4 linked regions of the Arabidopsis thaliana genome follow. The protein of the gene in region 2 interacts with the protein of the main gene of each other region in a pairwise test. Each region holds a gene or a part of one and is shown on either strand. Other genes may lie near its edges.

Region 1 (7,357 bases), on a different chromosome or scaffold from region 2:
TTAGATGAACAAGACATCAAGGAGCTTGTCTGGAGAGAGTCTTTACACTTCAAGAATATGTAATCTCCCAAATTCTCACTCTCTTCATAATTTTTAAGACACTTGAAAGCTTATTTGTCTAAGCTGTGGGGAATAGTGAACATGACTCGTATTCTCGTGTGCATGTGTTTGTTTTGCTGATGGTTGGTTGTGCAATGGGAAAAAAGTTCTTACCCAAACAAACCCTTAAGCGATTGCAAATAATTTCAACCCGACCAATCTCTACACAAGATAAAGCTAATTCGACCATACTCTGCCTAAATCAAATCTAATTTCACCAAATTCCTTAAAAGTCCCAAAGATTAGCTAAATCGTCCTAAAGCAAACTCTCTTATTTACAAAACTAGCTAGCTTTTTTTAAATAAAAATGTATGTAATGCCAATCGATTGCCGAAAGGTAATTTTCTTGTTTTATATTGATAATTTGGTATATGATATTAGTAGATAATTTGAATTGGACCAAGCAAGTCAACATCATTGCATATGTATTTTTAATAATTAAACGTGAAAACATCTCCGAATGAAACCGTTTGCTACAAAAGCCAAACACGTCTTGGTTTACGGATGCTGGTTCCAAAGAATTAATAAACAATATCTTTGTTGAACCATACATTTGTTTATAGATTATGTTCCTTTCTTAAATAATTCGAGCTGTCAAACTAAGTTCTAATTTAAACTTATTTCAATCCATTGTTGATTAAAATTTTGATATATTTATAGAAAATCCATTTTCTTAATAAAAAGGAGTTGACTAGGTTTTTTAATGCTGGCCCAAGAGGCCAACAGAAAGGAAAGTCCACTTTTGTGCTTATTATAAATTTACTGAAACAAATATCAAAATAGTAGGTATAAAACATTTCAAAAACTCTACACCAATTGATATACGACATTTTTTTCCAGTTAAAAATGCTAATTATAGCCGAATACAATACAAATTGTAATCCACCAATTAATGTTATATACATGAATTCTTCATTGTATTAAAAAAATGAATCTTCACTTTATCTAGTTGAAAACTTAATGCAAACTAACGAGCAATGGGTTAAATGAAATGACTCATCAGACGTTGGGCCATCGTGGGCTTGGAGTAAACTGAAAATGGAATATCAATGTTAAACAAATTTCTCGATTACTAGAATAATAAACACCAAAAAAGTTTAGTGAGTAAAACATTTTTTTTTTCTTTCTGTCTAACTTACTATTTTTTCGAACAGAGCATATAGCTTTTACTATTTTTGCCAGCAAAGGATGGCCTGTCTCTCATAAAGTTATTTTACGGCCTAAAATGTCAACGTATTGTAACAGGAGTTGTTAATGTACCCTAAACCTTATAGGTAAAAGAAATGAATGAGAGAGATTAAATAATCTTCTCCGAAGAACATTAATATGTGCCACGTGGCGCTATCTGCTGAAACGCGGCACAGTTAATTACTGTACTTGGAACCATAAAACAAAAAAAGCCTGTTATTAATTAAATAATTTTTTGAAAAAACATTCGACAACAAAGCGCGTGGAGTTAAAACGTGGGACCCACAATGACGTCCTTTTTGTTTTCCTCACCTCATTTGAAAATATTTCCAAAACGGTGAGTAATTTTGCCGTCGTCTAACACCGACGTCACCCGTAAGGCGATTGGTGACAGCTACAAAAATGTTACTATCATCAGACTTATCTTTCAATCAAATATAATCATAATCCAATTTAATCTACCATACCTGTCAAACCATCGAGTAAAAAACGTGTTTGTTGTAGCTAATAAAATTTTTAAGACTAATACTGAAAATTGACAAACTAGAAAGATGTTTGGCAGTATGAAAATAATTTTATCAAGAAGTGACATAATCTTTAATCACTCAAATCCATTGCTCCATTAACGCCACGTCAGATCGACGGTGCTTGTTTCCGAACCAACGGACGGTAGATGACAAATTAAAAAGTTGACCATGCTCAAGTGTTTCGTGCCATTACGTGGCGTCTTCTGATACGTTTGTCTTCAACACTAGCCGTACGTTTCTGTTCTCCTCAGGAAGAAACATTTGTCTAGACGTGGCTGGTTTTAATTAGACGCGCTATATGTAATGTACCGTGAACCTTGTCGTAGACGATAACTATACGTTTCTCTCTGAAACAAAGAAAATTAAACAACTTTTTTTGATTACGCGATATAAAAAAAGGCGAAGAAATTAAGCTTTCTCTGTTTGTCACTAAGCTCTCTCTCTCTCCTTCTTCTTCGACTTTTTTTTTTCTTCCTCTCTTCTCTTTGGTTTTTTGGTGTTGGGTTTTATCTGGGTTCCTGATTTCTTCAACGAGGAAGGAAGGAAGAAGAAGAGAAAAGGGACAAGCGAGAATTACTCTTTTCTCCTTCAATTTCCGATGGGTTGTTTCGGATGCAGTAAGAAATCGAGCAAACGATCCGAGACTAACAAAGATACTGTCATAAATAGAAAAATTGTCGGTGGTACTACGAGCGTTGCTAAGAGTGATAAGCGAGACGATCAGACTCAGCCCAGTTCAGGTATCGAGTGATTTTGACTAATTTCGTTATTCTCTCTTCTCCACAAGCTCTCTTTTGGATTTGTTGATTTTTTTTTATCGGATACTTATGTTTAGGTTTTTCTGTATCTGTTACATTTGGGAGAGACATTTAATGGAGATTTTTTGTGATTTTTCCCCGGAGAATTTTGATGCATGTGTACTATTCACCATATAAACGATGTTGGGTTTTTGAAATCGAGCTAGTTTTTTTTGGTTTTGTCTCCTCCATGAGGGGACAAAGTGTCAAAATTGAGCCTTTGGTATCTTGCCGTGTCTGTTTTTGGTTAAGTCACATGATAACTGGTAATCGATTTTGTTACTCGTTCCATGTGTTGTAGATTCAACAAAAGTCAGTCCATATAGAGATGTAAACAATGAAGGAGGAGTTGGTAAGGAAGATCAGTTATCTTTGGATGTGAAGGGTTTGAATCTAAATGACCAAGTCACAGGGAAGAAAGCACAGACTTTTACTTTTCAAGAACTTGCAGAAGCTACGGGAAACTTTAGATCGGATTGTTTTCTTGGTGAAGGAGGTTTCGGAAAAGTTTTCAAGGGAACTATAGAGAAATTGGATCAGGTACTTGTGACAAAGAAAAATCCTATCTGTTTTTATCAATTGGCTGTGAGATTTGTCATAGTTTTGAACGGTTGGTGAAACTTGGTTCTGCTGCTAGGTTGTTGCAATCAAGCAACTTGATCGTAATGGGGTTCAAGGAATCAGGGAATTTGTGGTTGAGGTATTGACTCTAAGTCTTGCTGACCATCCGAATCTTGTGAAGCTTATTGGGTTTTGTGCTGAGGGTGATCAGAGACTACTGGTGTACGAGTATATGCCGCAAGGATCCCTTGAAGATCATCTACATGGTATGTTGTAAGATCAAATTCCTATCCTTTGCCTCTGTATTGTTTGTCTCGCAGCTACCCCCTTTTCTCATCTAACTTTTACATTGTTGTTTTGACTGTTTCAAGTTCTCCCTTCTGGTAAAAAGCCTCTTGACTGGAACACCCGGATGAAAATAGCAGCTGGTGCAGCAAGAGGTTTAGAGTATCTGCATGACAGAATGACGCCCCCTGTGATTTACCGAGATCTTAAATGTTCGAATATTTTGCTTGGTGAAGACTATCAACCGAAACTATCTGACTTTGGGTTGGCTAAAGTAGGACCAAGCGGGGATAAAACCCATGTCTCGACAAGGGTTATGGGAACGTACGGATACTGTGCTCCTGACTACGCTATGACGGGTCAGCTCACATTTAAATCCGATATATACAGTTTTGGAGTAGTCCTTCTCGAGCTTATCACCGGAAGGAAAGCGATTGACAATACAAAAACGCGTAAAGATCAGAATTTGGTTGGATGGGTATGTTTTGTCTCTTGGCTGTGACTCATAATAATCTTTACTGAAACAAGACTCATATTTTCACGGTGCTTTTTAACAGGCACGACCATTGTTCAAAGACAGGAGGAACTTCCCAAAAATGGTTGATCCATTGCTTCAGGGACAATACCCAGTTAGAGGACTGTACCAAGCACTAGCAATATCAGCAATGTGCGTTCAAGAGCAGCCTACCATGAGACCAGTGGTATCTGATGTAGTATTGGCTCTCAACTTCTTAGCCTCTTCTAAATATGATCCGAATAGCCCTAGCAGCAGCAGCGGGAAGAACCCTTCTTTTCACAGAGACAGAGATGATGAAGAGAAAAGACCACACCTCGTCAAGGAAACTGAATGTGAAGGGTCCTCATAGGATATCCAATAAGAGAGTGGTAAAAAATCAAATCTAATTTTGGCTTCACCAAGAAATTGGGGAAAAATATAAAACCAACTCAGGTACATTTTTAACATCTATTGTGGATGTAAATCTTGACTCGGCTTCTTTGTATGTAGAATGTTTCTGTTCTGTAGAAAAGGAAAAAAAAAAAAAACCATTTTGTTTTGGGACATATATACATATATTGAACAAAAACAAATATCGTTGGTCATATATATATTTTCCCGATCAAAAAGTCTGGTAAATTAGGATTAAGTAATGTCTAAAAATTCATAATGATGAATGGCAAAAGTCGTAAATATGTAATAGAAATAGGACTATGATCACGTGATGCAACTTATCCCGCGTGAACCCGTTAAGATTTTTGCCGTTAAATAACCAAAACCTAATCCAAGAAGGCTTCACAAATCTCTTCTCTCTTATCTCTCTCTACTGGTTTTGTGATTCTTGGAAGAGAAGCTACAAGATAAGACAACAATGGCGGAAAGATCATTCTCTCAGCTCCCGATCTCTTCTTCTCACATTGGCAGAAGGACAGGAAACACCCGGAGAGGGATATTTCCGGTATCGGAGTATTGGATCCATGCAATTCCGGTGATCGTTTTTCTCTGTTTCTTCACCCTCTGGATTTTCTCCCACTCAGGTTCCTTATTTCTCCGATTCTTTAATCTAAGAAAAGATTTTCCCGAGAAAATGAGTCTTTCTGATTTTGGTTTTGGTTACAGTGAGCGTCATGAACGATGGAGAGATAATGTCGATACATCGTCTTGAGAAATCCATGGCCGTGAGAAACGAGTCTCATGTCAGTTTAGCGATTCTTGCTTCCTCTGCTGTTTCACCAGCCTCCTCAGCTCTCGTCGCCGTCGTCTCTACCAATCAGAATCTCACAACTTTTCACAACGCAACTCAATCGCAGCAAAATGCAACCCAGTCGGTGAACAAAGCAAAACAGCCACACGCAGTCTAATCTCTGAACGGAGAAAAGTTTCTTTCAGTTTCTTACTGATTTCTTTCATGAACAGATAACTTTCAGGGATTGAATTTTTCTTTTCTTTGTATTTGCTTCAGTTGAAACAATAGTTTTTGATTTAGGATTGAGAATTGTTTGTGAACGACGATACACAGAATGTTTTCAACAAATTGCATAGTCATTTGAAGAAATCTTTAGTGAGTATATATCTGAATCTTGTTAATGCTGCTGAGGATGTTCAAGCTCACTGATCTCTCCATCTGCGCAATTTCCGACCCAAATATACATCGTTTGGTTTCTCCTACTCGGCAATACTCTGCAACAATCCCTCCTCGGTGACTGCACCAAACACACAATTTTAACATCATGTTATTTCAACACCGGTTTATTATATGATCTCAGCCGGTTATCTCTGTCAATTCACTAGCCAAAACCAAACCGGTATGACTATATTTGATGCAAGTTGTTAATAATGAAGCAAAGAGAAGATGTGGACCAACCTTGTGCCATCGGAGGGGATCAGGTCGCTTGAGAACGACGACTGAATCGATCTTTCCAGGCGAATCGAGCCTCCATCGGCACCCGGGAATCCGCCTTGTCTTGTCCAAGTTGTAGTATCCAATCACTTGGCGACGTCCTTCATCATACTTAGCCGAGTTTAAGTAAAACACAAATGGTCTTTGGCACGGATGCCTCGACACTGGTCTCGTGTTAAACGCGTAACCAATGTAGTCGGCTTTGCGGAACCAGTTGAGGAATGTTCTTGAAGGCATCTCAAGTTCGCGAGGGGATATGATGCCTCGGATTATCTGGACTACGAAACCCCATGAGACCGAGATGGACCAGAACCGGTTCTGGTCGTAGCAGATGGACTGCTGGAATATGCTGGCTGGGTCAAGAACTGCTGAAGACATCAAGTGTCGTAGTGCACGTGACCGCTTCATCTTTGGGAATATCGGCTGCACCACATCGATGTGGTGCAGCGACACCAAGGGAGCCACTGGGTGTGCACCTAATAACCCCAATAAGTCCCCATAAACATCGTACTGCATACATAGAAACATTAAAATTAGACGTATTCAATCCAGATAAACCGTTCTAATCCGAACCGAAACCAAACCGAAGTAATTAAACATCGAGGAAACGTAGAAAATGACACCTGGTGAAAGCCAGGTTCTTTGGTGAGGGGTACACCAAGTTCAGTCATACAAGCTTGGATGCGATCATCACTGCCGTAGAGACCAGGATACCGTTGGATGCAACGGTCCTGCATCCGCAAGAGCTCGAGGGCTAGAGCATAGCTGATGGCGAACCCACCGCCTCCAAATGCCATTGAATATGAGAAGAAGATGTTCTGAACGTGAGCCTCCGAGGAGCTACCAACGTAGTAGAACTGAGTGTGGTCGTACTTTGAAAGGACGTTTACCACATTGTCCACCACAAACACTGTGTCGTCGTCTCCCATCACGAACCACCGTACACCTTTTTTGCCTAGCCGAAGCGTCTCCGTCACTACTCGAGATATCCTCACCGCTGATCTGTCCCCTACTGGATGGGTGTACCTAAAACATGACTTCTTGATTTGAATAAGAGATTTCTTGTAAAACACGTCAGATATTGTAGAGATGAGTAAGTACCTGAACCGTGAGGTGTCTTGGGAGATTCTGATTTCTGGAAGGGGATCGTTTCGGTAAGTTCTGACTCTCTTGTCAATCCAGACAACGCCACGAGTTTTACCAGGTCGCCACCATGATTTGATGTACTCTTTTCTCGTCTCCCACAGAACAGAGGACGCGGCAATCCCGAAAACGATGTGATCAAGCGTCGTGTTGAACATCCTTGGTCGCTGCGGGTAAAGAGCGGGGACACGTGGAGGCACATCGTCGTCTTCTTCCTCGGGAACAACAGAGGAAGATGAGTTTGCTTTGTCGACTAGGGACAGGTGGCTGTAGGTAGAAGAAGAGGGACGGCAGGTCTTGCGTGAGCCACCTCCTCCGGTTGTAGAGATGAGAAGCAAAGGGAGGAAGAAGAGGAAGATGA
Region 2 (8,986 bases):
GAATGGCAATGCCCCTGATTTTATCATTTTTATACAAGTAACACTTGGTGCCTCGTCCATTAATCCAACGATTGATTATCTTATGTCGAGACAAAGCATTGGTTCAATCATGCAAAATCTACCTTATCTATAGCTTTATAGTTAATTAAATTTAAATCCATTTCTTTATATTGTTTTTAAAAATAATTGATTCATAGTTACGTCATACGTTTTTTTGTTTCCTGTAACAAATCGGTTTTGCTTTCTTTGATTGTCTCTTTCAAGATAAACGACCAAAACTTCAATATGACCAAGCTTTTTGACGCATTTCGTTTATAGAATACTGATCCATTTCTCTTTTCGTGAAATATATGTTTTCGATCTTGTCCATTTGCAAATACTTTCTAATCCACTAACTTGAGTTGGAATTGTATTAATAAATCAACTTGCTTGTTCTTTCCATTTTTAAAAAGATCTCATAACTATTTTACAATAGTATTATCAAAAGGTGAGCAAAAGAAAATTTACAAAAAAACAAAGTGAGCAATATATAACTACATATATAGTTGGTAAACCGGACTTTAGGGACCAATGAAATTTGTAGTGCTTAAGCGTAAGCATTCAGTAAAAATGAATTACGATTAATATATTTGTAGTGCTTAACCGTAAGCAGTCAGTGAAATTGAATTACGATTAGTATCTCAAAAGATAACTAAAAGTATATACATTTTAGATTTATTTGTTTTTTATAACTAGAAGGAGTTTGGGTTTAAGCGTTAATCTTCTCCATGGCCCAGGATCAGTCTTTGCTAAAATCTTATAAAGACGTAAAACATCCGCTCCACCAGGAATTGAACTAGGGAGAACTTTATAGAAAGACAATATATATAAACAAAACATGCATGATATTTTATGTCGTAAATTCAATAATATTGATGTGGCTGAGGAAAAGCTCAATTATTTTGATGTCATTGATCAGTGATCAGTAACGGAGTCGTTTGGTCAATAAAGAGTTTCAATAACCATCACCACTTTTTACGTGTTGTTACTTTATATATTAAAATGACTACATATAATGGATTTTCGACTTTAATTACTTTTTAAATATATATGTTATGCATGAATTAAGCGGTCGAAATCGTATTCTAGGTGATTCTGACATGTGTTCATGCTTTCTTGCTAAAAGATAAGAAACTGTCGTGGGGTTCGCCATGCAAAAATGCGAAGCCATTAAATATAATTAAGCAAACGCAGCCAACGAAGTAAATAACCACGAGACAATTTCAAACATATTTTATCACCATAATTATCGTCTTTTTCATTAGTTTATGTTTTATTTTAACCGTTTTTGTATAAAGCACACGAATTCCGTAATTATGGCTGCTATATAAATTCCACGGTCAAACAATCAAGCATGTACAATACATAAGATTAAAATTCAGCTCATTAATATTTATTGGTAGTATGTGATAAATTTATATAACATGTTTTTTTCTAGTCACGGATTTCACGCAACAAATGTAGAATTTGAAACTTAACGTGAATCTTGATTTAAAATATTTATGCATTAAATGTATAGTCAAAATAGATCAGGTACAAAACTTAAAGTTAAATAAAAAAATATTCTAAAGCAAAATAAAATATCCATGATTTGTGAATTCATTCAATAAGAATGACGTGGAAAAGAAGCTCGTCATGATTACACATTCCAAAGTGTCGTTGTGGGTGTTATTAGACTAGTAGTTTTACAATAATATCTCAGTAGCCATTAGTTATCTTGACATCATTTTAGTCAAAAAAAAAAAAAACATGACAAAACAGAAGGTAACTTAAACACTCAGCGGTTAGGATATCTGGCTTTCACCCAGGAGACCCGGGTTCCATTCCCGGTAACGGAGCTTTTCTGAAGATGACAAAAAAAAAAGAAAGTAACAAAACACTAAGCACATAAATGGTTATGGTGGAATGAGGAATTAATGAAGAAAACGCCGGAAACATCTCGGGGAAAAAAAAAAAACTGGCGTGACTTTGAAAATGTAACGGAGATTTTAAAAAATTTACACTAATTACGTAAATTAATTTTTCGAATATTTGAGTTTGGACATCTCAGAGTCCTAGGCGATTTTGTTTGATGTATGGAGTTGAAAGTGACGAAAGCAAGGAAGACTCTTAGTTGTTGAATGCGAGGCTGCTAAGCAAGTGAAGAGAACAGGTGAACAAGACTTTAAAAATGATTTTTATTCTTAATTTGTTAAGGAACTTTAAAACAAAGAAGAAAAAACCATGCTTTAGAGCGAGCACTTTGGTAGAGACCCCTTGTCGTGTATAACGATGCGACATTTATATATACTGAGTATTTATTACTATATATAGTTCCTGATTTGGTGACTGCTTCATCATATATATTTGCATATTATGTGTTTGGATCCTAAAAATCTTTTTGAAGTGATTGAGCTTTCACTCCTTTCGTGTGCCATCTCCTCAGCAGTATTGTAAAGAAAAAGCAAAGCAATAGCGATTTCTTTTTCTGGTGGGTAATGATTTATAAACAAAAAAGAAATATTTAATAAAGTATATAAAACATGAAAAAAATAAAGTACGAAGATGTCATAGTAGCCCAACATACCCTGTACTCGCCTTTTAGGAAATAAATAACTATTCGTGTTTGTTAACATTTGCAATAATAGTCATATTTACAGAACAAAAACATTGAAATAATTTGATAAAAAAAAGAAAGAACATTGAAATAATTTCCATAAATTCGGAGTACGTAATCGACCGTTTACTAATATGACTCTCATCAATAAGGACGTCAAAGTATGTCACACCATCCACGAGAAATCGAGAATCGAATTATGTTGAAACTTAGGTATTGAGTAAAAGAAACCAAATAAAGGTATTGAAAGCTCACAAGAATCTATTGTAAACTTTAGTTTTTCAACTATTATTATTTTACGTTATTTATTTTTTACGTAAAAAGATGCAGATTGAATAATTTGTTCTGTCAATTAAGGTTATATTCGATACTGTTTATTTCTGTTTTTCGACACTGTTTATTCACATAAACAAATTACAGTATCCAAATGAATCCCGTAGGAATTAAAATCCCCAAAAAAACTAAACGTTGCAACACAAGTACGAAATTGTCCAATAAAAGTATGAAATAGTCCAATAAACAATGAAAACGATCGTTATCTTCTCTTCTTCATATTTCATTTTTTGAAGACATATCGGTCATGATTCTTGTTGAACAAGCGTGTTTAGGGAAGTAGATCAAGGAGTCATCGGAATAACCAAAAGTTGACCGTTGTTAACATTTGTACGGCCTTCCTCTTCCTTTTCTTCTTCCACCGTATTGGTAGGCAACTTCATGATCTTACACTCTACTATTTGCTTACTCCTACTCCATAGAAATATATATAAACCGATCACAACCACCACAGATCCAATAACGCTACAACAATAATAAAAGTTTAGTCCATAACATGCACATGATATAATATATTCAAGAGGTTTATATAGTTAAAATATAAAGTTAATACAGTTAGATTTTTAATAATATACCTTCCCAAATAAATCTCACGATGAAGAATCAAGAAATCGAACACGGTTGCAGACATAAGCACGACAGGACTAAATGATGAGGAAACGACAGGTCCTTGTTGTTTGATACACCACGACATGCCCACCGTACACATACCTTGTGCAACCACTCCCTATAAACATATATTAACAATAGATCAATATCTGATTATTGTGTGGATCCAAATTATTTATATGTCTGACGAAACATTGTCTTATATACCGCTATAACGACGGTGATGATGGTAAGCTCATCTCTAAGGATCCAATCTTCCAAATGTCTAGTCTTAATTAAACTAAGAAGGGCGCATTGAAGCGTACCAAAGACCGACAAAATAACGGTACTCGAGTATGGACAAGGGTATTTCACGTTGATCTTGGCTTGTATAAGCATCCAAGAACTGAAAAGAACAACTCCGGTCAATAAAAAGAAACAACCTTTGATCCAATTCTCATGTCCTGTGTGGTTATTTGAATTTGCTGCTTGTTCTGGAGAGTTTGTTAATGGAATCCCTTGATACATAGTAAGAAGTAAACCTCCTACTAAGCTTATCAAAGTTCCAAGAACGACACCGTATCCTATTTTTGTTTTCAAACTTAGCTTTTCGAACCTGCAAATTTTATTTTTTCAAAATAAAAAGGTGTAAGATTACACTTGAGATGATAGCGTATATGGCACTTTTCTTTATTTTAACAATAATTGTACCCAAATATTAAAGCCATAACGAAAGTGAGGGAAGGCATTATGGCCCAGAAAGCAGATCCCAGCGTTGCAGACGTGTAGGACAGTCCAAGCAAGTAGAAATATTGCATCAAGCTCGCCCTGAAAAAGAAAGATTTATGATAAACGATTATATTTCATTTTATCAAAAACAAAAAAAAATAACATCTTACATAAACATACAAAAAAAGCAATAAAGAGGGAGAGAATAGAAAAACATAAGGATTTAGTGGATTAAAACCGAAACTTACCCAAAAAGGGCACTGACGAAAAGCTGACATGAGATGCTTAGAGTTAGCTTTGGTCTTGTTTTCCTGAACAAATCATGAAATCGAATATTTATTTTGTTAGGCACACACAATTCTGATTCTATATCCGTACATAGAAAAACATTCATGAAACTCTCTAGTATATACTCTTTATTGTTTTCAAGTTAATATTCTTTTATCTTATGAAATAAAATAAATTAAATAAAGTAATTAGCCAGAAAAAAAAAGATAGAGATGAAGCATCAAACGTGATATTTGTGTCTTCTTGTATTTTCACAACATAGTAACCAAAATTCAATTTTTTTAAAAACACTGCCACAAACTTTTAAATATTTTATTATTTTATTAAGGCATAACGAAATGTATAAAAATCTGAAAGCTACGAAAATAAAAATCAAAGAAGAAGTAGTAAACGTACCGTTCCCAAAAATAAGCGACTGGAAGAAGGAAAAGAGTAGATATACCCAAACGATAAGTAGCAATAACCATATGATTGATGCCTCCATCAAGAACTTTCTTAACTAAAGCATTAACCATTCCCGCAATCATGTTAGAAACAATTAAGACTATCATTGGTGCCCACTTTCCATCGATAAAACCCATGATTAGTATAAGTTAATTACTTAATAACCAAAATGATATCTCTTTCTTTCTCTCTCAGTCTCGCTCTCTCTCTTAGCTTTTACTCTATCCTTCTCTCTCTGTCTCTTCTTCAGAAACTTGTTTGAGTAGTGAAATATTAAGACTAGAGGTGGATATATTTATAAATAACATGGATGTTGAGTTGGAGCCCATTTCTTTCTAAAACAACAAAAAACAATGAAAATATTTAAAGAACGAGTAGGTATTGAATTCTTTTTTAACTATGAAACAAATTATAGAACTACTAAGTAAAGTTCTTTAACAGAAAAAAAAAAAAAACTATTAAGTAAAGTTATATGAAACATTTGTTTTTTGAAATTGTAGGTATAGAATATACTGTTTTTCTCGGTGGAAGGGATTAGTAATATATATATATATATATATATTTATATGTAACTGTGATGATGTATATACCACATATGAATGATGTTTCTATATGTATTAAGTTATTAACTATATATTTGTTATAAACTATGCGGGGGCATGCTAATAGTATATATTTCTAAAGATATTAACTATTAGGTAAATGATATACGGGTATGTCAAACTACAAAAAAAAAAATACAACTAAATACTAGGAAATATAAAACTAACACCACTACTCAGTAAAGTTTAGTGGTGTCAAAAAATTATAATTAATTTCTCAATATGTTAGATTTATTTAAGTCACGACTAAATAATGGTAATTAAAGACATAAAATTAAATTAATAATATGAAAATTAGTTTTTTCTTTTCTTATACAACTAAATCTCATACAAATACTCTTCTAAATTTAAAACAGTACTATAAGTTTATAACACAACAGCTTCACTAATAAGCTACCCACCCCGGTCCATAACTGAGTTTGTCGTCAACTTTTCTTATTATATTTATCGACTATATATGTAGCACTAATCGAATTAAAAATTGTTGTTTTGCTCACGTTGTTAATTACGAGTTCAGTGTAATCATTTTAACAAAAATTAAAGAAATGGATAAAACCCAATCATTTCATCAAATGAAAGCAAAGTTGCCTTTGTACCGAACAATTGAATTAATATTTCCCCCAAAAAGAAGCAAAATTATAATTTAAAACATACTTTCACTATCTCTATAAACTTATAAGGTATACGACACATTGTAAATTGACAAGTACACCAAATTCTTTTCTGTTTAAGATTTATTAATATGTAAGCTTACTGATGATAAGATAATTAGATTTCCTTTTTCGTAAATACCAGATTTTATAAGCCCAATTGGAGCCAAACAGCAAAAAATTAAAATTAAAATATGTTCGTAATGTCATAATAAACTATAAAAAATACAGTTTTTTTTAGAAAAGTTTTATCAACCAAACTCCGATGGTTTCAGATGACCTCCTTATTTTTTTTTTTTTTTGGTTCCATACTTCCAGATTAACCACATAATAAAAAAATAAAAAATAAACTTTACTACTACTTGCATCAAAACAAATTACCCAACTTTATATTGAAAGACATTCAAATAACACATGAATAATGTTTCTTCCACTGGTCACATAGTTGATTTTTTTTTTGAATATAAGAACTGTAAATATCATTTCAAAAAATGAAAGTTTAGGATTTAATTGGTCCGAGAAATTTTTGTAAAAAACATGAAAGCATAGACATTCGAGGATTAAATCATCAACGAAAACCATAAGCGGTGAAGCTTATGGCAAGGCTACATTTGAAGTTTTTTTGTTATCACACATCCTGAAGCTAATTGACAATAAACTTGTTGCCACCTGCCAAATAAAATGTTTTAATTTTGCAAGAAAAAAGATTTTCCCAATTATACTTTTAAAAGCATTAAAGTTTTGTCTCCAACTATAATATTCAGAAGGTAAAACTCACGTAATAGAGCAAACCATTAATATGATTTAACAGTAAATTTCCCAAATCCAGTGAAATGCCATGTACTGTATAGTTATCATGTCTATATAAGTGTAAGCTAAATACCCCACCCACGAGTAAAATGTGTATCTGTCATATCCAAAACCTATTCACTCCCACCAAAATATATCATAGATCGCACAACTGAAAAACGTATTTGATTTGAGAAAAATTTTTATCCATAAACTATTCACTCCCACAATCTCTGACTTCCAGTAGTGGAGAGGGAGACTCTGAACGCCTCTAAGTGAGAAAATAAATACAGTATTATGTTTTTCAAATAAACATCGATAGATAAAAGACATTAGTGTGGTGTGTTTTCGTTGGCACTTCGACAGTCAATTAAGAAAATGGGACCAGGTCATTCTTTGGAGAGCTGAATAGTAGAAAATGGTTTCGTCTAATTAATCTGTTATTTGTTGTAAGAAAAACGAAATAAATGAAACAATATTGATAAATAATCTAAAACTTTTAGAAAGTAAACCAATGATCACTCAATGTAGTGATCATTTACGGTGAGAATATATATTACTTTCAATTAATGTGCTAAATAACAAGGTACTTGTAGGTTTTATCTAACCATGATTCGAATCAGATACCTTCTTCAGCTCAAGCCATTCAGCTGTATTGTACTAGATTATTGGGACCTCTTGATGGTGATCGAGAACTAAATGTTGGCAATGTGGATATGGTACAAAAAAGGTTAAGATGCCATTTGAATCTTCTAATACGGTTGTTTGATTATGACCTTTGAGAGAAGCTTCTAGCTGTAGAGATCTCTTGACAGGAGGTGAGTGTCTTTTGAGAGAATCTTTCACGTAGCCATGTGTGATGTGTCACACAGTGTGAGTTCCTGTAAACGGCAAATTATTCCTCAAACTTTACTTATGATATATTCGTTTAGTTCTAACAAAAATTATACGATAGTGGCATATAACCTTAACAACTATCCAAAAAAAAAAAGGATATACAAAGCAATTTTTGTGTGTGTCTTTACTCTTTAGTTCCATCTTCACATACTCTAAAACGTTTCGAATTGTATTTACTTCTCTTGTTCTTCGTCTTCCTCATTACCAAAACATATCTTGTCGACTTTACTTTACTTTATGATTTATTATAGCCTATAGGTCACTATTTTCTACAACAATATAATATTTTTTTCATATTTTTTTATTTATTTGTTACACGCTTTACTACATTTTCTTTTGCCGTCTGGGTGCCATATATATAGTTGCAGAACACTAAGAGTCTAATCAACTACATGATTCAAGCAAACCGGCGCTCAAGCCCACAACTAAAGCAAAAAACATAGAAAACCACCATCTACTACATTATTGTTTGGGTTATGAATTTCTGTTACTCTTTTATTAGTCTAATATTTTATATATTCTTCATCAGTTGATGACTTTCTAATATGTACATTTTGAGCAATAAAGCTCCTCCAGTGTATATTAAAAGGCCCAACACCATCCCTAATTTGCTTTTCATGTCTAGCTTCTCTATCCTGTGCCCAAAGAAATGCGTTTTAGTGTGAATTTACTTTTCTAGGTTAGAATTGAAATTCTACAATCCTGGACATTTTATTTAGTTAAAAGAATACTAGAGCCATAATGATGTCAAGAAAGAAAAGAATACTAGAGTCTAGTGCCATAACAAATCTAACCGTATATATGCGTCATGCTCATAAAAGCACATGCTAACGTAGCTGCCTCATGTGTACGATTGCCTCAGTAGGAAGAAATACTGAGTCAAAATTGCCTTAAACTAGGAAAAGATACAACATATATATTTTTTTCCCCACAGGAAAATACAACATATTATATTAAGAGTTTAGGCTCAAATTAGAAAATAACAAACCCAATAAAGAGCACTGAAGTTTATATATAAAAAAGAAAAAAAG
Region 3 (8,125 bases), on a different chromosome or scaffold from region 2:
AGTTAATACATGATTTTGAAATCAATTACCAAAATTTATTTAACATAAATCACATTTTGTTTTCCTTTCTTGAATGCATTTATCGTTTAGACTTAAGTTTTACCTTAAATTTACCTTTCGTACGTGATGATTGGAGAGCTTGATTTTCCATTTGTAAGAAGTGACTCAGATTTTAGTTTTCGGGTCTAAGTGTGGGAGAAACTCGGTGAAAGAGAGGGTTCGAAGTCTGTTGTGACTAAAGTCATAACACGTGAGGCGAGCTGACTAAAGTCATAACACGTGAGGCGAGCTGACTAAGGTCATAACAAGCTTGAGGGCGTTTTGGTCTTTTCGCATGAGCTCTGTAACTATATCTTCTTCTTCTTCTCTGTAATTCTGTTAGATCGGAGATAGAGAAAGAGAGAGAATTGTAATCAAGTTCTAGAGAGAACTAGAGAGAGAAAACTTGTAAAGATACATTGTAAAGAAAGGTTCTAGTGGATTTCCGGAGAGATTCTCCGGCGAGACGTAGCGATTCCGGTTGAGGAACGTGAACTCGTTAAATCGTGTGTGTCTTTGTTTCTTTAAGTTAGGCGCCGGTAGCACCGGTACTAACAAAATTACATATTTGTAACAATATATATATATATACACACATACATTTTAGAATAGTAAATTCTTTATATGAATATATATGATGCTTAAATGTGTATATATATATGGTTATATATAGGAGGAGCTTGTGGTTTCGCAGTGGCTAATCCACCATTATACGGGATGGTTTCAGCTGGAGGTCCTTCAGTGTTCAACAATGGAATAGGATGTGGAACATGTTTTCAGGTTTGTATGAATGTATATAGGGCAAGACTCAAGAGCATAGTGTTACGTATGTAACACAGAATTTATGCCCTTTTGGTCAGCTTTGTTAATGCTTTTTAGGTAATATATTAGTTAGAATAGTATTTTCAGAAAAGATGATACAATTTTATATATATGTAGCTAAGATTGTTCATAAAACGTAAAAAAAAATTGTGTAATTATATTCAATAAAATGACCAGTTCATATGTCTTTTTTAATTAATCAGAATGAACATTAAAAATTTGGGTTGGAAAAAAAATTGACATAGCATGCAAGATCTGAATGTATGTTATATGGTTACAACAAGATTTTACTTTCATCAACTATATAGTATATGTTAACATTTTTATTTATCAGATTCTATGCAATGGGCATCCAGCATGCTCGAGGAGACCAATAACGGTGACGATAACCGACGAATGCCCTGGTGGTCCTTGTGCCTCTGAACCAGCCCACTTTGATCTTAGCGGCAAAGCCATGGGTGCCTTAGCCAGACCTGGCCAAGGCGATCGACTTCGATCGGCTGGTGTTCTACGTGTTTACTACAGACGGTACTTATATACTTACATAATTTTTGTTTTAAAATTTTTCCTTTTAGTATGTATATCTAGGTTTTGAGTTGAATTTTTTTTTTTTGATAAATCAAAGAAATCAATGTTTTCATTTTTGTTATTATCTTTACAGAAATATTATTTAATTAAAATTCAACTATTTTCTATGATATACGAATCAAAATATTGACTATTGTTTTTTGATCAGCGTGGAATGTTTATATCGAAGAACTAACATAGCTTTCCGTATGGACCCTGGAGCAAATCCGTACTACATTTCATTTGTTGTCGAGTATGAAAACGGTGATGGAGATTTGGCCTATATAGAAATTCAACCAGCCGACGGAGAATTCATCCCCATGCAAGAAATGAGGTCTGCTGTATGGAAGATCAGCTCTGGCAGTCCTCTAACAGGACCATTCAACATCAGACTTACTTCTGCTGAATCTCATAAAGTAGTCCTAGCTTATAATGTTATTCCGGCGAATTGGAAACCTAATGAAACTTACCGTTCAGTTGTGAACTTTAAGTAGAGTTTTCTTTGTCAAATTTGAAATCCGACACATTTCATTGTTTTTCTCTAGTCAAACTACAATATACAAATCTTTTTTTTTTTGGCCAAATAATATACAAAGCTTATGATATAGTAACGAATAATAGAAAGATATATGACTTACCACCAATATGAGCGCATATATTATATTTTTTGCCATTCTCTAAATCTTTTTTCATCAAAAGAAAAATTATCGACATTATGCTCATTCTCTAGCCAGTGTTACAATACCTTTCAAAGGTAGCCTTCCTCCTGAAACTGGTTGTACAACTACAAAGACTTCGGTTTGGTATATAACTTGAACTAGGAATTTGTTTCTTTGTACTTTTGATTCAGGACCTTACTTCATGAGGATAGTTCTCAAATTGTTACAGAGGACTGTCACAAGTTAAGTACATGAATCTTCTTTGTGTAAGTTCTTTTAGCGTTTCTTTTCTACATGTCTCTCTCTTCTCGCAAAAATTCAGTTTGTTCTATATATCTATGTCTCTTTATTATCTCTTTCATGTTGCTTGGAATGTCTTACCATAAGGTTTATTTATTGAGTTTGGTCTTTGCTTTAGAATACCAGAAGTAATTGTTGGAACAAGTAAATCTAATGCAAATTTGAATTCATAACTAAGATCTTGGAGTTACCTCCAATTTAAGTTGTAAGTAGTTAAAACTGAATTTTGGAGTCTACCTTCAACCAATTGTTTGCTTAAAAGAAGGTAAGGTGGAGTGGTGGACATGCTCTGGTTTTAAAAACTTACAACTACTATACTTTGAATTCCACCTATGTACATAGTATTGTATACTTTAATATATTAATTTAAACCAACAGTTTATTATACAACAAAGGTCTGAGACACAATAATGTACTTTAGAGGAGAACTATATATGAGTATGTGACTATATCTGACAAAATTCCCTCTGTATATCTCGATATTAATTATATAAAAAAAAACGGATCTATAACCTAAGACGAAATTTGCAACTACTACTTTGAATCTTAATAACATTATTGGTAGCCAAGCTATCAACAAATACACCACATCTGACCAAGAATCTTACTTCGAAGAGCTTCAACTTCCCAAATTTGACCCGAACCGGTTGGTTTACTCTAATTCTCAATGGTATATTCCCGGTTCTTTGTTGTTGCTCTTCTAATGTCGTCCTTAAACCCGATGCATTTTGTGTTTGACCAGTCATTTCTACGTATATCACTGTCGTATTTTCATGTCCTTGGTAAAATTTTGGCAACGACCCTATTCAAAAAAATCACAAAAGTTCAATGAAGTTAAATCTATAAGAAGACCCGGTTTGAAATGGTGTAAACGAATTATAATCAAACAAGAAAACCAAACAACATAAATAAATATGTTTAGTTTTGGGGTTTTCAGTCCGGATAAACCGGTATGATCCAACTCTACCAAAAACGATTGATTTGAATGAATTAACTCTATTATATCCGAACTATTGAATATGAACCGAACAAAAACTATCTAAACCAAATTTTGTTTGAAACTAAAGATATACAGTATTTGACAATCCTAATCCAAAATGAAAGTAAACCCAAAGCCAACCAAAAAAATTTAGACATCCCTAATTTGAAAAGAGTTTTAAAGTCTTCCTTGTGTACGAACCAAACCAAAGGAAAAGAACAGAAATCAACCAAATAAACCGGTTTTGTAGTGAGATTTTGAAGCCTTCCTACGTTAAAAAACCAAAAGAAAGCAAACCGGAGTAAACCAAAAGTGACGTACCATTGCTTAGTTGATGTTCCATGTACCACACGGTAATCTTGCTCCCATCTTCATAATAAATTCCAATCTTCTCGTTCGGATTCTTAGCGGTTATAGTCACGTTAAAAGCCGTAGTCAAACTCGAGTCTTGGTTCAGTGCAAACCGGGTGAGCTGTAACCGGTCAATAGAGTAATCCGGTAGCTTCGGTTTAAAGACAAGGTATAGTATACCAATGGATGCGCCTACTGCAACGACAAGAAGCAAAAGAAAGCAGAACGTGTAGCAAAAGCATCTGCAACAACAACTTCTTCTCTTCTTTGGAGGAGCCAACGGCACGAACCGTTGTGGCCTTTGGTTCAAAGGGACTTTGGATGGGTCTCCATGTTCTGATCTAGAGGAACCACGAGGAACCAAAGGAGCTGTTGGACGCGCTGTTGCGGCTTCTGGATCTTGGACCGGATAGATTTTTTGGTGTTGAGACATTTTTGGAAAATCTTGATGACACCAAGAAGAAGAAGAAGCTTTGTTTGTAGATCTTATTTAGGGGTTTGGGAAATTAATATAAGTAGGGACCTTATGGAGTTTTTAAAGTCAAGAGGGAAGAACTTTTCAATGGAGAGACTTCTCTATATGAACCTATAGATTATGAAAAACAAGTACATTCGCTTCCATACAACACATCACACGTGTAATGTGAATTTGCGTGTCTGCTTAGGTAGCGGTCTTTTATGGAAATTGAGTTTGATGTGAACCCATCAAATAAAAAAAATAAAAATCATTAGTAGGTATCAAATTACTTGCAATATAGATGGAAAAATTAGGATGACTTTTTGGAAAATACATATATTGTAGTCCTATACATTATCAAACAACTAAAAGTTATATCCACTTAAGATATTTTCCAATTACTATTTGTTTCTTTTTATTTCCTATAATTTTTTCTATTTACTCTTTTGCTCTTTCATGTTTACTCTTCTTGATTTATTTATATTTCATATATAAATGGTACTTAATCTACAAAATAAAATTTCATATATTTACGCCTCGCATTGTCTTTGAGAAAATACAAGTTTTTAATATTTAGATCGCATATAGTTTGACTAATAGGTACATTATAAAGTCAAAATACATTTGATGAAGATCTACTTTACTTTTGTTGACCTAATCCCCTAAGACTTATGCAGCAGTGTTCTCATGCATTTCGTCATGAATTTTTTTTCTTTTACTTTTTTGTTAACATGCTTTATTTTATTATTTTTTTTGCAAATAAAATTCCATTCGAAATCCCTAGGCCCCAACGATGTTAATTTATTTGTAGTGTTTCTGTTTAATATTAATCGTTATCAACGAAAAATTTTTAGAACGCAATTCTTTTGTTCTTCATATTAATAACCAAAAATCAAAAGCTTCTGATAACACTTACTATGAAAAATTTCAAGAAATAAATCACTTAATATGAAGAATATTACATTGGAATCGTAAAAGAAGACCCAAGACTCCGATGAAATCAGAAGTGTTTGGTTTTGGCGAGTTATTACCAAAACCAACGACTTGTATGATGCGACTATGGGAGAATGACATATTAAGTTAATATCTATATTGTTGTCTTATAGAAAATGTATGATGCTTCTAAGTTTTAAATACGGCCATTTGTTGATGTTGATAGATTTGATGATGTATATAATCCTTCTAGATGAAATTGCAACGACATTATAATTTGTAAGATACCAGAAACTAATTCCTCTTTTTTTTTTCTTTTGCAATTTGAATATCTATAAAATTTTGGTTAACAATAAAAGTTTTTTTTCTAATCAAAGAATTTGTGGTCTAGTAGCAAACCTAGGTCCGTCCAAAAGATTGTATGATTTAAGTTTCCGACCAAAACGTTTAAGACATAAAATATCATATAGCTTTTGTCCTTAGGATACACAAATAAGACAACTCCAGACATCAAAACAAACTATCCAAATTGTTTACAATCAAATCTTCTCTTTGTTTTTAGGCTTTGAATGAGAGAATTAGATTTTCTCACCATAACTATATTCAATCAATGCACTACGGGTTTCAACGGATGGGCTCTCAGCTTCGAAAAATCCAGACTAGCATCAAGCTCCTCGTCCAGCTCCCCGATAACACCTCTGATCAAAGATGACACCATTTTTTTTATTGAAACAAAAAAACAATTGCAATGTTAGAAAATCACTGATGATGATGGATGATAAGAATTACATGTTGTCCCCTCTGATGATGTACAAACCCAACACATGTTGTTGTACTCCTTCCTGCAAAGATGAAGACATAGTAAGAGGTCTCAATCCTAATTCCAATATCCATCATTTTAACAGAACTCTGCCTTCACACCAAAAATATCCAAGAACATTTGTCTAATGAAGTATCAACATGACCTGACATACTCTTAGTGTAAACAAGAAAACAGACATGAATCAAACCTTTAACCCTCTTACGAAAAAAAGGAGGTGATCATGTATAATTAATTACACACTGCCAATATCTACGTATTTGACTTACCTATCACTAGCTAAATCTTTTGACATATGAACTCACAAGATTTTTTCAATCAGTTATAACACTCGAAGAATACTAACACTAAATCTGTTTCGGTGTATCCAACACTATCTGATTTAGATACTTCCATTCAGAGGCCAGTTAGTTCATGATTCACTATTCTCTTACCAAACAAAGAACTGTAGGACAAGGCCTATCTTAAATATCTGAGTAAGTTTCCTCAATATTCTGTTGAAAAGATGACACTACGCAACTAAATCAAGCAATGTACATTATTAGCAAGAACGTAGTACCAATTAAAAGATCAATACCAGACGACGAAAGATGCTTTGAGTGACAATGAACAAAAGATAAACTAGCATCCTTATAGTACCTCTATTTTTCTAGTTTTATGCGATCACTACAAACAAAATATGGAGACATCGAGAACTCTGCTACATCATAGCCACTCATGGATACAAACCAACAAGGTTTTGCAGGTCATACACTGGCCAATTTACTTGCAGAAAAATGTATTTGCACCCATTCAATTTAGTAACATCGAAAAGTTCAGATGAAAATACTTTAAAACAGGAATCAGAAGCTAACCTTTGTGGAAAACACACGTTCATGAGATTCATCAAGGATTATATTTGTAGCCTGGTCAAAACCTTTAAGAACTCCCTGAAAAAATATAAAAATCGATCTCTTTACTAAGATACTTGCATTGACATAAGGAGTTCTAAACCAGATATCACACAAGAGAGTATAACATACCACAATGTTGCGTCCGTCATTTGTAATCACCGAAATAATCTCTGCAGCAACCAATCAAAAGATAAGATCTTTAGACAATTCATGTGACAGAACATCACATATCAATCGAGAATGGCAAAAAAAAAGACTAACTTACGATCGACGAGAGTCTCAAGTCCAGTAGTTGCCGCCATGTTACAGTTCGGAAATTATTTGAACTGAAAGGTTACTAAAAATTAGACTAGGAATTTCATCGAACACTTGGTGTGCTTACGGATAACAATGAAAAATTAATAGATTTCGTATCCATCTCAACGAGAGATTTCACCAAACTTAACATAAATCCAGAATTACGAGAAACAAATGATAATTCCAGTGTAATTTGACCTAAATTAAAAGAAACCACCGAATAGAAAACGAATGTAAAACAGGTTCTGGTTCACCGGAGGGTTTCAAGGAATTCAGAAGAAGAAACGTATGAGGGAAAAGCTCTAACCTTTGCTGCTTCGGAATCTGAAAATCGTTACTTGGCGGAGATTCTGATTGGTAAAGAAACCCTAAAAACCTTTTCGTCACTGTTGTTCTTAGAAAACTCTCCGGCGTGTGTTTTTGCTTTTGGATGTTGCTTTTAACTACGAAATGTTAAAAGAAATACTCAAACCGAACCGAACATTTTATCCGGTTTAGTTATTTTATCCGAAACCGACAATTCTGAAAATTTTCACCTGAACCGAACTGTTTAATCCACCAAGTATGCATGGTTCGGGGTTCAGATCGGATTCAGTTTAGATTTTTTGGATTCATCCGATACAAAAATTTAGTATATATTTGGGTTCTATGATTATTTGGTTCGGTTTTTGGAAAAAACTACATATTTTTTCAAAATTTTAATAAAAATTGAATTACAAAAAATATATAATTTTGTCATTTAGTTTAGGTATAATACTAAGAATTTTCGGATATTTTGGATATATATAATATATCTAAGATATTTTTGGATATTTTTGTTAATTGGTTAAGGTATAATTATAATTTAAAACATCTAATAATTTTGAATATGTAGATATTGTTTCGATTTTTCAGATATACTGTTTGGTTTTTGTTTCTGTTCGGGTTCAGTTGGGATAATTCGTGTAAAATTATTTAAAAGTCTCTCCGGTTATATGATTATTTGGTTTGGTTTCGGGTCCGATACAG
Region 4 (8,876 bases), on a different chromosome or scaffold from region 2:
CCCTTAGCCATAAGGTTGAAACATCGGCCATGTTTCCTGGCTTTCATATACTTAGCGATCTCCTCGATTCTTAAATCTTATCCTTCAGTAAGTAGTTGAATTCACTGTGAACTTGAAGTTATCTTTTCTTCTTTGAGGAATTATATTCATAAATGTTAACAATGCTTTCATCATTTGATTTACTCTCAATAGGTCGGAGATTCGGCGTTATACTTGAGCTTATGGGCATTGTTTGTCAATGAGTTATTAGGTAAAAGCAAATACTTCACATCCTCTTAGCATTGTTTAGCCTTTGCATATAAACTCTGCTTCTGTTTCACATAGATATGAAGTTCTCGTTCTTCCTCTTCTGTGGATATCTCGGGATCTCTCTCCTCAGCCCTGTGATGCACAATCTCTGGATATGGCGGGTAAGCTTCTACTCAAATCCATAACCCAACTCTTCACAGCAGTTGCAACAAAATGTTCTAATGATCACAACTACCTTTGATTTTTTCATGACAGGGAACCGGAAATGCAAATTTCTACTTTGGAAACGCTATCGGCTACGCGTGCTTTCAGGTAAAATATAGGCCTGGATCCATTTCAAAATTCATTATTCTATTCAGTAGTTGGGAGTTGATACTCATATAGTACAAAATTTGATGATATCAAGCAGAGGATGATGAGATCATCAGTTATTGATCAAAGAATGTTGTAGTTTTGGGTTATCTTGACTAAAACCCGCATACGGGTTTCTGCTTTTCTTTACAGATCGTTTTCGTGGTTGAGAGCGTAAGCGCAATGCTAAACCATGACAGGGCGCTGAAGAGATCAAACTCAAACCATCGAGAAGTCAAGAGCTAAGCCATTGAAGGTCATTGCGCCACTTTTCTGTTACACGTAAAGAAAAGAGTTGGGTCTTTAGCTTAAAGTTGGCAACATGTGATTTGTGTGAGTAGCTTTTCTTTGTTTGAGAACATCATATAAATAACAAATCTCCTGTGCCTTTCCGTTTAGAGTAACCATTAATTTGTACTTTTTACCGAGAGGTTTTAAAGTTCTTGTTTTGATCCGCAAAGCACACAATCATCCCTATATTTGAAGTTACATCGCATGTATACAAGGTATTATCATTTGTGAATGGTGGATGATTAAAGGCATTGTCTATGTCCCGTACTTTATCCTTATCCACTGCACCATTAAGGCCTAAATGACACAGTGCAGGAAGGTTATTGGGTGGTGTTTGGTCATTGTTTTCTTAAAAGTCACCCATTCACAATAAATGAAGTGTGATGCATTATTAATTTATTTGTAATATCATAAAAACTTGTAAAACCCACGTGGTACCAAAAACAAAAATCAGACCCTAACCGTATAACTGTATTTCACACTGTTGAAAATATATGTTCAATTCGATCTTGTGACATCTGAAATCTCCTAAAAATTATGCATATATTGCATGAAGCTGATGTATGCATGATTGCATATCTTGGTATTATATATTGTATTGATGGCGTGTGGTGATGGAATTTCATGGCGTTTGGTGATGGAATGCGGTTGTGTATCGGAGCTGACTTCAGCAAAGTTCAAACTTCAAACTGCAGTTTTCCTTCATAGCTCAGTCACAAAATACAGTTTGAAACTACTCCTTTTTCATCTGTTAAGTTAAGACAACTAATGGTTCTTGATTTTGTAATTTTGTTTCTTGGATTTCATCAGATGGGAAGAAACTAGTGGAGGAAATATACTTCGAACTCCTGGATTGCAATTTCCAAATGGCTATCATGTTAAACTCAAGAAGAAAGAGATCTAGAGAAAGAAGAATTTGAAGCAAAGGAAGAATAATAATCTACAAGACCTAAGATGGATACTATAAAGTGTGTACTATAACCAAATTAAAGGAATTTATTTCCAATTACAGCTTATGTTTTACATTAATAAAATTGTTTACTATTTATGTACTTAAAGACAGTTTGAGAAATATGGTGTTCAAATGTAAAAATAATACACTCTTTTATTTCTATCCCCTTTTACACAAGACGAATTTGGTAATGTACACATATATAAATAATCAAAGGCTAGAGAGATCAAAGAGATTAAATGTTAACAAGAACACATATAAAAGCTTTTACTATATGATTATGATGATGATGATGATGATTAGCAGGTCCATTTAGAAGTTGGGAAACAGCTAAGGTAATGACACCATTTGCAATGTTTGTTCCCATTCTCTCCTTTGAAAAGCATCACTAATGCAACCGTTAGCCCAACCACAAGTAGCACCACTGAAACTACAAACAGCACGTACTGGTACATGCTATACTTTCGTTTGGTTCGCGAAGTGTTGGTGCGGGAAGCTTCCCAACCGTACTGAGGTCGGACAAGGAGGACAAACCCGAGGCAGAATCCGGTTAAAAACCCTCCAATGTGTGCAAAGTTGTCAACCCGAGGAAGCATGCCTAATGCTAAGTTGATTGCGATGATGAACAGAAGTGTGATCAGAGCAGCCGCCTGCCAAAAGAAGCCGTTAATCCTAAGTTCCGGTTAAGGCGCGTATAGCGAAAAGGGCATAAGTACCTTGTTGGCATAGATAGTCCAATTGGTAAGAAGTTCAGATAACATTGCTCCAAGAAGTCCAAAGAGAGCACCCGAAGCACCAACAGAGATACTTTCTTGAAGGAAAAGCGACGAAAGTATGCTTCCACCGAGACCCGATATTAAGTATATCAACCCGACTCTTACTGCACAGTAACATTCCCGCGATAAAGATCAAATGTTTCACTTGGCGATTAAACAAAGAGAGTCTAAAACTTGACTGAACAATAATTCTTGTACACGTAAAGGTAAGACTTACTGAAGCCAAATTGCTGCTCAAGGCGGATACCAATGAAGATCAAACTCAACATGTTTGTAAGAAGATGAATGATACCAGCGTGAAGCCACATACAAGAGAGAAGTCTCCATCCTTGATGTTCATGTACTACTTTCCTCCATTCCAATGCTCCCATTTTCTCCAATCTGATACAAGTACATATCCGAGTAAAACCAAATCAATCACAAACACCATCACTACAATAATTGCCAATGAAATTTACAAATCATAATTCCAAACCAAGCTAAATACATAATTCCAGGAGAAAAATAAAAACTTTGAGAAACCCTACAAGTTTGAGCTCATGTTCCAAGCCACTAACAGACAATAAAGATCAAATTCAATTGCCAAGTTGAAAACACAAAAATTGAGACTTTTTCAGTTTGTTGAAAACAAAAAAAATTGAGACGTTTTAGGTACCCAAAAGATCAAACTTGTTTGCCAGTAACTTAGATTAACAAATTCTAGAATCTCGAGCTTCAACTACAAATTCATTGACGTTATCAGTAAGGCACTAATTGGGTAATCTTAATTACTGCAGAAAAATGAAAACTTTGAGCTCAATTTCCATAAGAACAGACAATAGTGATCAAATTCAATTGCGAATTGGACTCCCAAAAAGTTTGAGACTTTGGAGATACCCAGAAGATGAAACATGAATCTCCAACTTTAAAGTAATACTTACGTTGAAGAAGAAGGACCAAAGAGAGGATTCTCTTTAAGTGGTTGAAACGAGAATCTTCCGAGGAATCTAGCAACACACTCTTTGTTAGGTCCGGTGATTTTCTTAGGACAATCATTAACGAACATAACAGCGATAAAGACAGCGAGATTTGCCACTACAATCGCCGGAATCAGCCATGAAGTCCAATGAGTTTCACCAGAAGACTCCTCGTAGAAATAATTGTTATTAGCTCCTCTGTTTTTCTTCCCTACTCTCTCCACATCTCTGTTCGCCATTACTCTGTTTCTCTCTCTCTCTCTCTCTGTCTATGTGGTTGTTATATAAAATCGAAACTTGGATTAAACGGATCAAATACGAAATTCAGGAGAAGTAGCTTACAAGAAATAAAGGATTAGAAGAAAGAAGAGATTGAGACAGAGTATCAGTAATCAGAGAGAGATTTAGGGTAAAAACTACAAAGTTGTAACCATTAAAATAAAATAAAAACGCTTTTTCACGAATTTAAACCGTTGAATTGATGTTGAAAAGTTAGTGCATCTAATTATTTATGGAATTCTATTAATTATGTTCTTAATCTTTATCGATGTGTGTAGAATAACAAAAAGTAAAGAAGAGTTTTTGGTGTTGTGTCAATGGCGAGTTAGGCGGTGGTGCCAGCTCCTCCTCTCCTAGGTTTTAGTACAAGTTTCTTTTCTGAGTGCAAAAAACAACTCAGACCTGCGACAAGATTACAAAATATATAACTTGAAAACAACAAAAAAACAAGGTATTTTGTTAAAGTAAAAAGAGAAGATAAAACATATACTCCTTTTATTTTTTCTTAATTGAATTTTTTACAAAAAGGGTTTTATTTTTTTATTTTTTTTTATACAAAAAAGTGTTTTTAAAAGATGGATTTCTAGATTTTTTTGCAATATTAATTAGATATTATTGATGAATATCAAATTTCAAGATAAATAATTAAATATTATTGATTTTTAATTATAAAAAAATATAAAACACAAAAAATAATATATTCATAATTAATTTTAATAATATTTTCTTAAGATATGTATTTTTTTAGAAAATTAATTATTAAAAAAGAGAGAAAATATAAGCTAGTACTATTTGTAGTACGTGTTATTTTGTTTTAATTATAGCATGGTATTTATAAGTTAAACTTTTTTTTCTCTAGCATGAAGACTTTTTTTTTCTGACGAAAAACTATATATAGCAAAAGGTTCTACGGTCTCGATATTTAACTATTTATAAGATTTAATAAGTTGCCAAGGGCTTCTTTAGAATAGTCGACTTTTACATTGTGGAACAAACTATTGAATCCAACAAAGACTAACTCTATAATCTCACTAACAATCGCTTGGATATTATTGTCGATCTCCAAGGAATTTATCATCAGGCCTTAAATGGACTTCGTTGCAGCATATTTCAATGGTGTATAAATTTTTGTAGCCTTGTAGGTATTGGTAGAGTTCGAGAACTTTGAGGATTGAAGGGAAGATATTATATGATCCACCCGAAATTTTTTCGTAAAAGGTTTAATATTCCTTGACGTTTGAAACCATATCAATGAAATTAATAAATAAAATATTAGAATAAACTTCAAAGATGGTTATAATTAACCATAATTTATCACTAAGGAGTATATGAAAGCCATGTGTCCAAACCAAACTCGTGTTTAATGTTCTAAACCAATTGTATGTACTTTCACATTCATTTATCAATAAGACTTTTGCAGAGGTATGAATACTTGTCCAAGTCCGTATAATGGGAGAAATGTTTGGGAGGTGATACAAATAGATGTGTATATTTTGCAAAATGAATGCATACTTTGGTTTTGTTGACATATGATTAGAAAAAATGATAATGACCAAACTTGTATTGTATCATTGTATCATATACAAGTGGAACCAAACAGATATAGATCTTTACAATCCAAGATATAAATTGGTAAGGTCCACGCGGTTTCACCTTAATTAGAAAGGGACATCTCAGCAATAAAAAAAAAAATGAAGGAAATATAGTTAGACAAATATGGAACCAAAATAGCAAAACTTGATAATCTTCTTTGTTTTTTTCATATTTATTTGCTAATGCTGGCCTTTCAATTTAGAACTAAACCAAAAAAAAATACATTATGTGATTATAAACCAAACCGGTGATAAAAATGATAAGATGAAATCTTGACCGGTCAAATGATCCAACGGTGGTGCGAAACTGGATGAATATCACTCTCACTCTCTCAGCCTATGTGAGTCTCTCTCTCTGTTTGGTTTGGTAGAACCAAAAGTTCAAACCTTTACTCTCTCTGTCTGCAAAAGGTTCATCATTTAGGGTTTATACAAGTTTACAGAGAGTTTACGATTCTGAATCAGTGATTTTGGAAGAAACCCCAATCAGCTGAAGATGAGGAGATTGTTTGCGATTTCATCGACGGGAAACAGATTTGTTCATCGGAGTCTTCTCGGAAAAGGTAAATGTGGAACTGCTCCTCCTTCCTTTAGCCATTGCAGTTTCTGGGTACGAGATTTCTCTGGTGTTAGATATGATTACAGAAAAATATCGATAAATAGGCTAAATGATTTGAAGCTAGATGATGCGGTTAATCTGTTCGGTGACATGGTCAAGTCTCGTCCTTTCCCTTCGATTGTTGAGTTCAGTAAACTGTTGAGTGCCATTGCTAAGATGAACAAGTTCGATCTTGTCATCTCTCTCGGCGAGCAGATGCAAAATTTGGGAATTTCACATAATCTTTACACATACAGTATTCTCATCAACTGTTTCTGCCGACGCTCTCAGCTCTCTCTTGCTTTAGCTGTTCTTGCCAAGATGATGAAACTCGGCTATGAGCCCGATATTGTCACGCTTAACTCTCTGCTCAATGGTTTCTGTCACGGGAATAGGATTTCAGATGCCGTATCTCTTGTTGGTCAGATGGTGGAAATGGGATATCAGCCCGATTCATTCACATTCAACACTCTAATTCATGGACTTTTTCGCCACAACAGAGCTTCAGAAGCAGTGGCTTTAGTTGACCGGATGGTTGTGAAAGGTTGTCAACCAGATCTGGTTACTTATGGTATTGTAGTAAATGGATTATGTAAGAGAGGTGATATTGATTTGGCTTTGAGTTTGTTAAAGAAGATGGAACAAGGGAAAATAGAGCCTGGTGTTGTGATCTACAACACTATCATTGATGCTCTTTGCAACTACAAAAACGTGAATGATGCACTCAATCTGTTCACTGAAATGGATAACAAAGGAATTAGACCAAATGTTGTTACCTACAACTCCCTCATAAGATGCCTTTGTAATTACGGAAGATGGAGTGATGCTTCTCGACTACTCAGTGATATGATTGAGAGGAAAATCAATCCAAATGTAGTCACTTTCAGCGCATTGATTGATGCATTTGTGAAGGAGGGGAAGCTTGTAGAGGCTGAGAAATTGTACGACGAGATGATCAAAAGGTCTATAGATCCTGATATTTTCACTTATAGTTCACTGATCAATGGGTTTTGTATGCACGATCGTTTAGACGAGGCCAAGCACATGTTTGAGTTGATGATTAGCAAGGACTGTTTCCCAAACGTAGTGACTTACAATACTCTTATAAAGGGATTTTGTAAGGCTAAGAGAGTAGACGAAGGTATGGAACTCTTCCGCGAGATGTCTCAAAGAGGATTGGTTGGCAACACAGTCACTTACACCACTCTTATCCATGGATTTTTTCAAGCTAGAGAGTGTGATAATGCCCAAATAGTTTTCAAACAGATGGTTTCTGATGGTGTGCTTCCCGATATTATGACATACAGCATTTTATTAGATGGGCTTTGTAATAATGGGAAGGTAGAGACAGCATTGGTGGTGTTTGAGTATCTGCAAAGGAGTAAAATGGAACCTGATATTTACACATATAATATTATGATTGAAGGGATGTGCAAGGCAGGGAAGGTGGAAGATGGGTGGGATCTATTTTGTAGCCTCAGCCTTAAAGGAGTGAAGCCTAATGTTGTAACCTACACAACAATGATGTCAGGATTTTGTAGGAAAGGTTTAAAGGAAGAAGCAGATGCCTTGTTTAGAGAAATGAAAGAAGAAGGGCCTCTTCCAGATAGTGGTACATATAATACGCTTATCAGGGCACATCTGAGAGATGGTGACAAAGCAGCATCAGCTGAACTCATCAGAGAAATGAGGAGTTGCAGGTTTGTTGGAGATGCTTCAACCATTGGCTTGGTCACTAATATGTTGCATGATGGGAGATTGGACAAAAGCTTTCTCAAGATGCTTTCTTAAAACAGTTTATCCTCGAGAGAAGAGGATCGTGAGGTGAATCAAGTCTTTATGTTGCCTTACTCTGTTTACTTCTCAAGCTACATGTGTGTATTTGGTTGCTGTCGTGTGTGTAAGCTTCATGAAGATGACTGATACTTTGCTTTGTGTAATTCATTGTTAGGTTAACACACACGAGATCAATTTGTGAGCATCAGAACAAGATCTCAGACGTGTCATTATTATGGTTTTACTGTAGTAGATTTGGTTTTTAACCAAACGTATTTTATAATTCTTGTTTTGAATGATTGCTAGCAGTTTCTAGTTCCTTTTGGTTCAAAAAAATAACTTGATTTGGATTCTTATTCCCAGTGACATTTGTAACGTGGATTTTATTTTGGTGGTAATATTTTAAACCGGTTTGACCAGCTCTTTTCTGTCTAAATTTGCTGGAGGAACACACTGTCAAACACAGATCTCATATGCGCAAATCCAGTTTCCTGAAGAAAAGCATTGGTATTAGACGAAAGTTAGGATGCTTTGAGCTGTCAAGAACAATCAAATCTACTAAAAATCGGTTATATATAGGAGTGAAGCATGTTTCAGAGGATATGTTCACAACAATTCCAAAAGCAGATGCCATCTTCATGAAAGTAAACTCATATATATTTCATTCATGGAAAAGTTTAATCAATAACAAATACTATCTTCATTTCATAAAAGCCTTGTTTCAGATTTTTTCACACACATTTAAAAGTGTTTTAAGTTTATCTTATACCTTTAAGTACATTTATGATTTTTTTTTTCTCCTATTAAATAAGCTGAAAGATTATAGATAAATGGTTTTGTTTTATTAAAAATGATGCATTGAAAATATAAAAGGACATTTTATATATAGATACTACATGATTAGGCCGATGGAACCAAAGATGAGCGACTCTTCTTGTAACATTGTGTTTGCTACGCAATGCTCGGTTTTTTTTTTCTTAGATCGAGACTTTGCCTGAGATTCTGGTTTTCTTCGATTGTGAAATCATATATGTCTTGCCTTCTCATATAGGTTCA

The links.
Region 1: the proteins of UMAMIT30 (region 2) and AT1G07860 interact in a protein complementation assay, tested with the Arabidopsis thaliana proteins (one large-scale study listed by BioGRID).
Region 3: the proteins of UMAMIT30 (region 2) and AT1G65690 interact in a protein complementation assay, tested with the Arabidopsis thaliana proteins (one large-scale study listed by BioGRID).
Region 4: the proteins of UMAMIT30 (region 2) and RBL2 interact in a protein complementation assay, tested with the Arabidopsis thaliana proteins (one large-scale study listed by BioGRID).

Annotation. Positions count from the first base shown.
Region 1 is NC_003070.9:2,426,899-2,434,255, reverse strand, and holds AT1G07860 (Serine/Threonine-kinase RLCKVII protein), read left to right. Parts: upstream 1-4,824; coding exon 4,825-4,990; intron 4,991-5,030; exon of another isoform or gene 5,031-5,072; coding exon 5,073-5,314; 3' UTR 5,315-5,345; downstream 5,346-7,357. Other genes in the region: ATMPK13 (Protein kinase superfamily protein), read left to right, coding at 1-63; AT1G07870 (Protein kinase superfamily protein), read left to right, coding at 2,413-2,554, 2,913-3,151, 3,249-3,438, 3,544-3,935, 4,015-4,313, 4,878-4,990, 5,073-5,314; AT1G07850 (transferring glycosyl group transferase (DUF604)), read right to left, coding at 5,537-5,656, 5,818-6,363, 6,477-6,879, 6,955-7,357.
Region 2 is NC_003075.7:604,754-613,739, reverse strand, and holds UMAMIT30 (nodulin MtN21 /EamA-like transporter family protein), read right to left. Parts: upstream 5,468-8,986; 5' UTR 5,155-5,467; coding exon 4,970-5,154; intron 4,597-4,969; coding exon 4,534-4,596; intron 4,385-4,533; coding exon 4,268-4,384; intron 4,173-4,267; coding exon 3,785-4,172; coding exon of another isoform or gene 3,749-3,784; exon of another isoform or gene 3,696-3,748; coding exon 3,544-3,695; intron 3,434-3,543; coding exon 3,253-3,433; 3' UTR 2,975-3,252; downstream 1-2,974.
Region 3 is NC_003070.9:24,428,749-24,436,873, forward strand, and holds AT1G65690 (Late embryogenesis abundant (LEA) hydroxyproline-rich glycoprotein family), read right to left. Parts: upstream 4,418-8,125; 5' UTR 4,151-4,417; coding exon 3,688-4,150; intron 3,190-3,687; coding exon 2,894-3,189; 3' UTR 2,669-2,893; downstream 1-2,668. Other genes in the region: EXPB6 (beta expansin 6), read left to right, coding at 127-153, 569-587, 713-819, 1,196-1,389, 1,598-1,922; LSM8 (Small nuclear ribonucleoprotein family protein), read right to left, coding at 5,715-5,805, 5,897-5,949, 6,029-6,080, 6,362-6,438, 6,782-6,856, 6,950-6,990, 7,086-7,122. UniProt on the Arabidopsis thaliana protein: Plays an important role in the abiotic stresses-induced abscisic acid (ABA) signaling and biosynthesis. Acts as a positive regulator of ABA-mediated seed germination inhibition. Functions downstream of ABF2/AREB1, ABF4/AREB2 and ABF3.
Region 4 is NC_003070.9:23,406,912-23,415,787, forward strand, and holds RBL2 (RHOMBOID-like 2), read right to left. Parts: upstream 4,229-8,876; 5' UTR 3,815-4,228; coding exon 3,540-3,814; intron 3,001-3,539; coding exon 2,837-3,000; intron 2,724-2,836; coding exon 2,560-2,723; intron 2,494-2,559; coding exon 2,143-2,493; 3' UTR 1,893-2,142; downstream 1-1,892. Other genes in the region: AT1G63110 (GPI transamidase subunit PIG-U), read left to right, coding at 1-87, 193-250, 325-410, 505-561, 754-846; AT1G63130 (Tetratricopeptide repeat (TPR)-like superfamily protein), read left to right, coding at 5,943-7,835. UniProt on the Arabidopsis thaliana protein: Rhomboid-type serine protease that catalyzes intramembrane proteolysis. Can cleave the Drosophila proteins Spitz and Keren. May function in pollen elongation.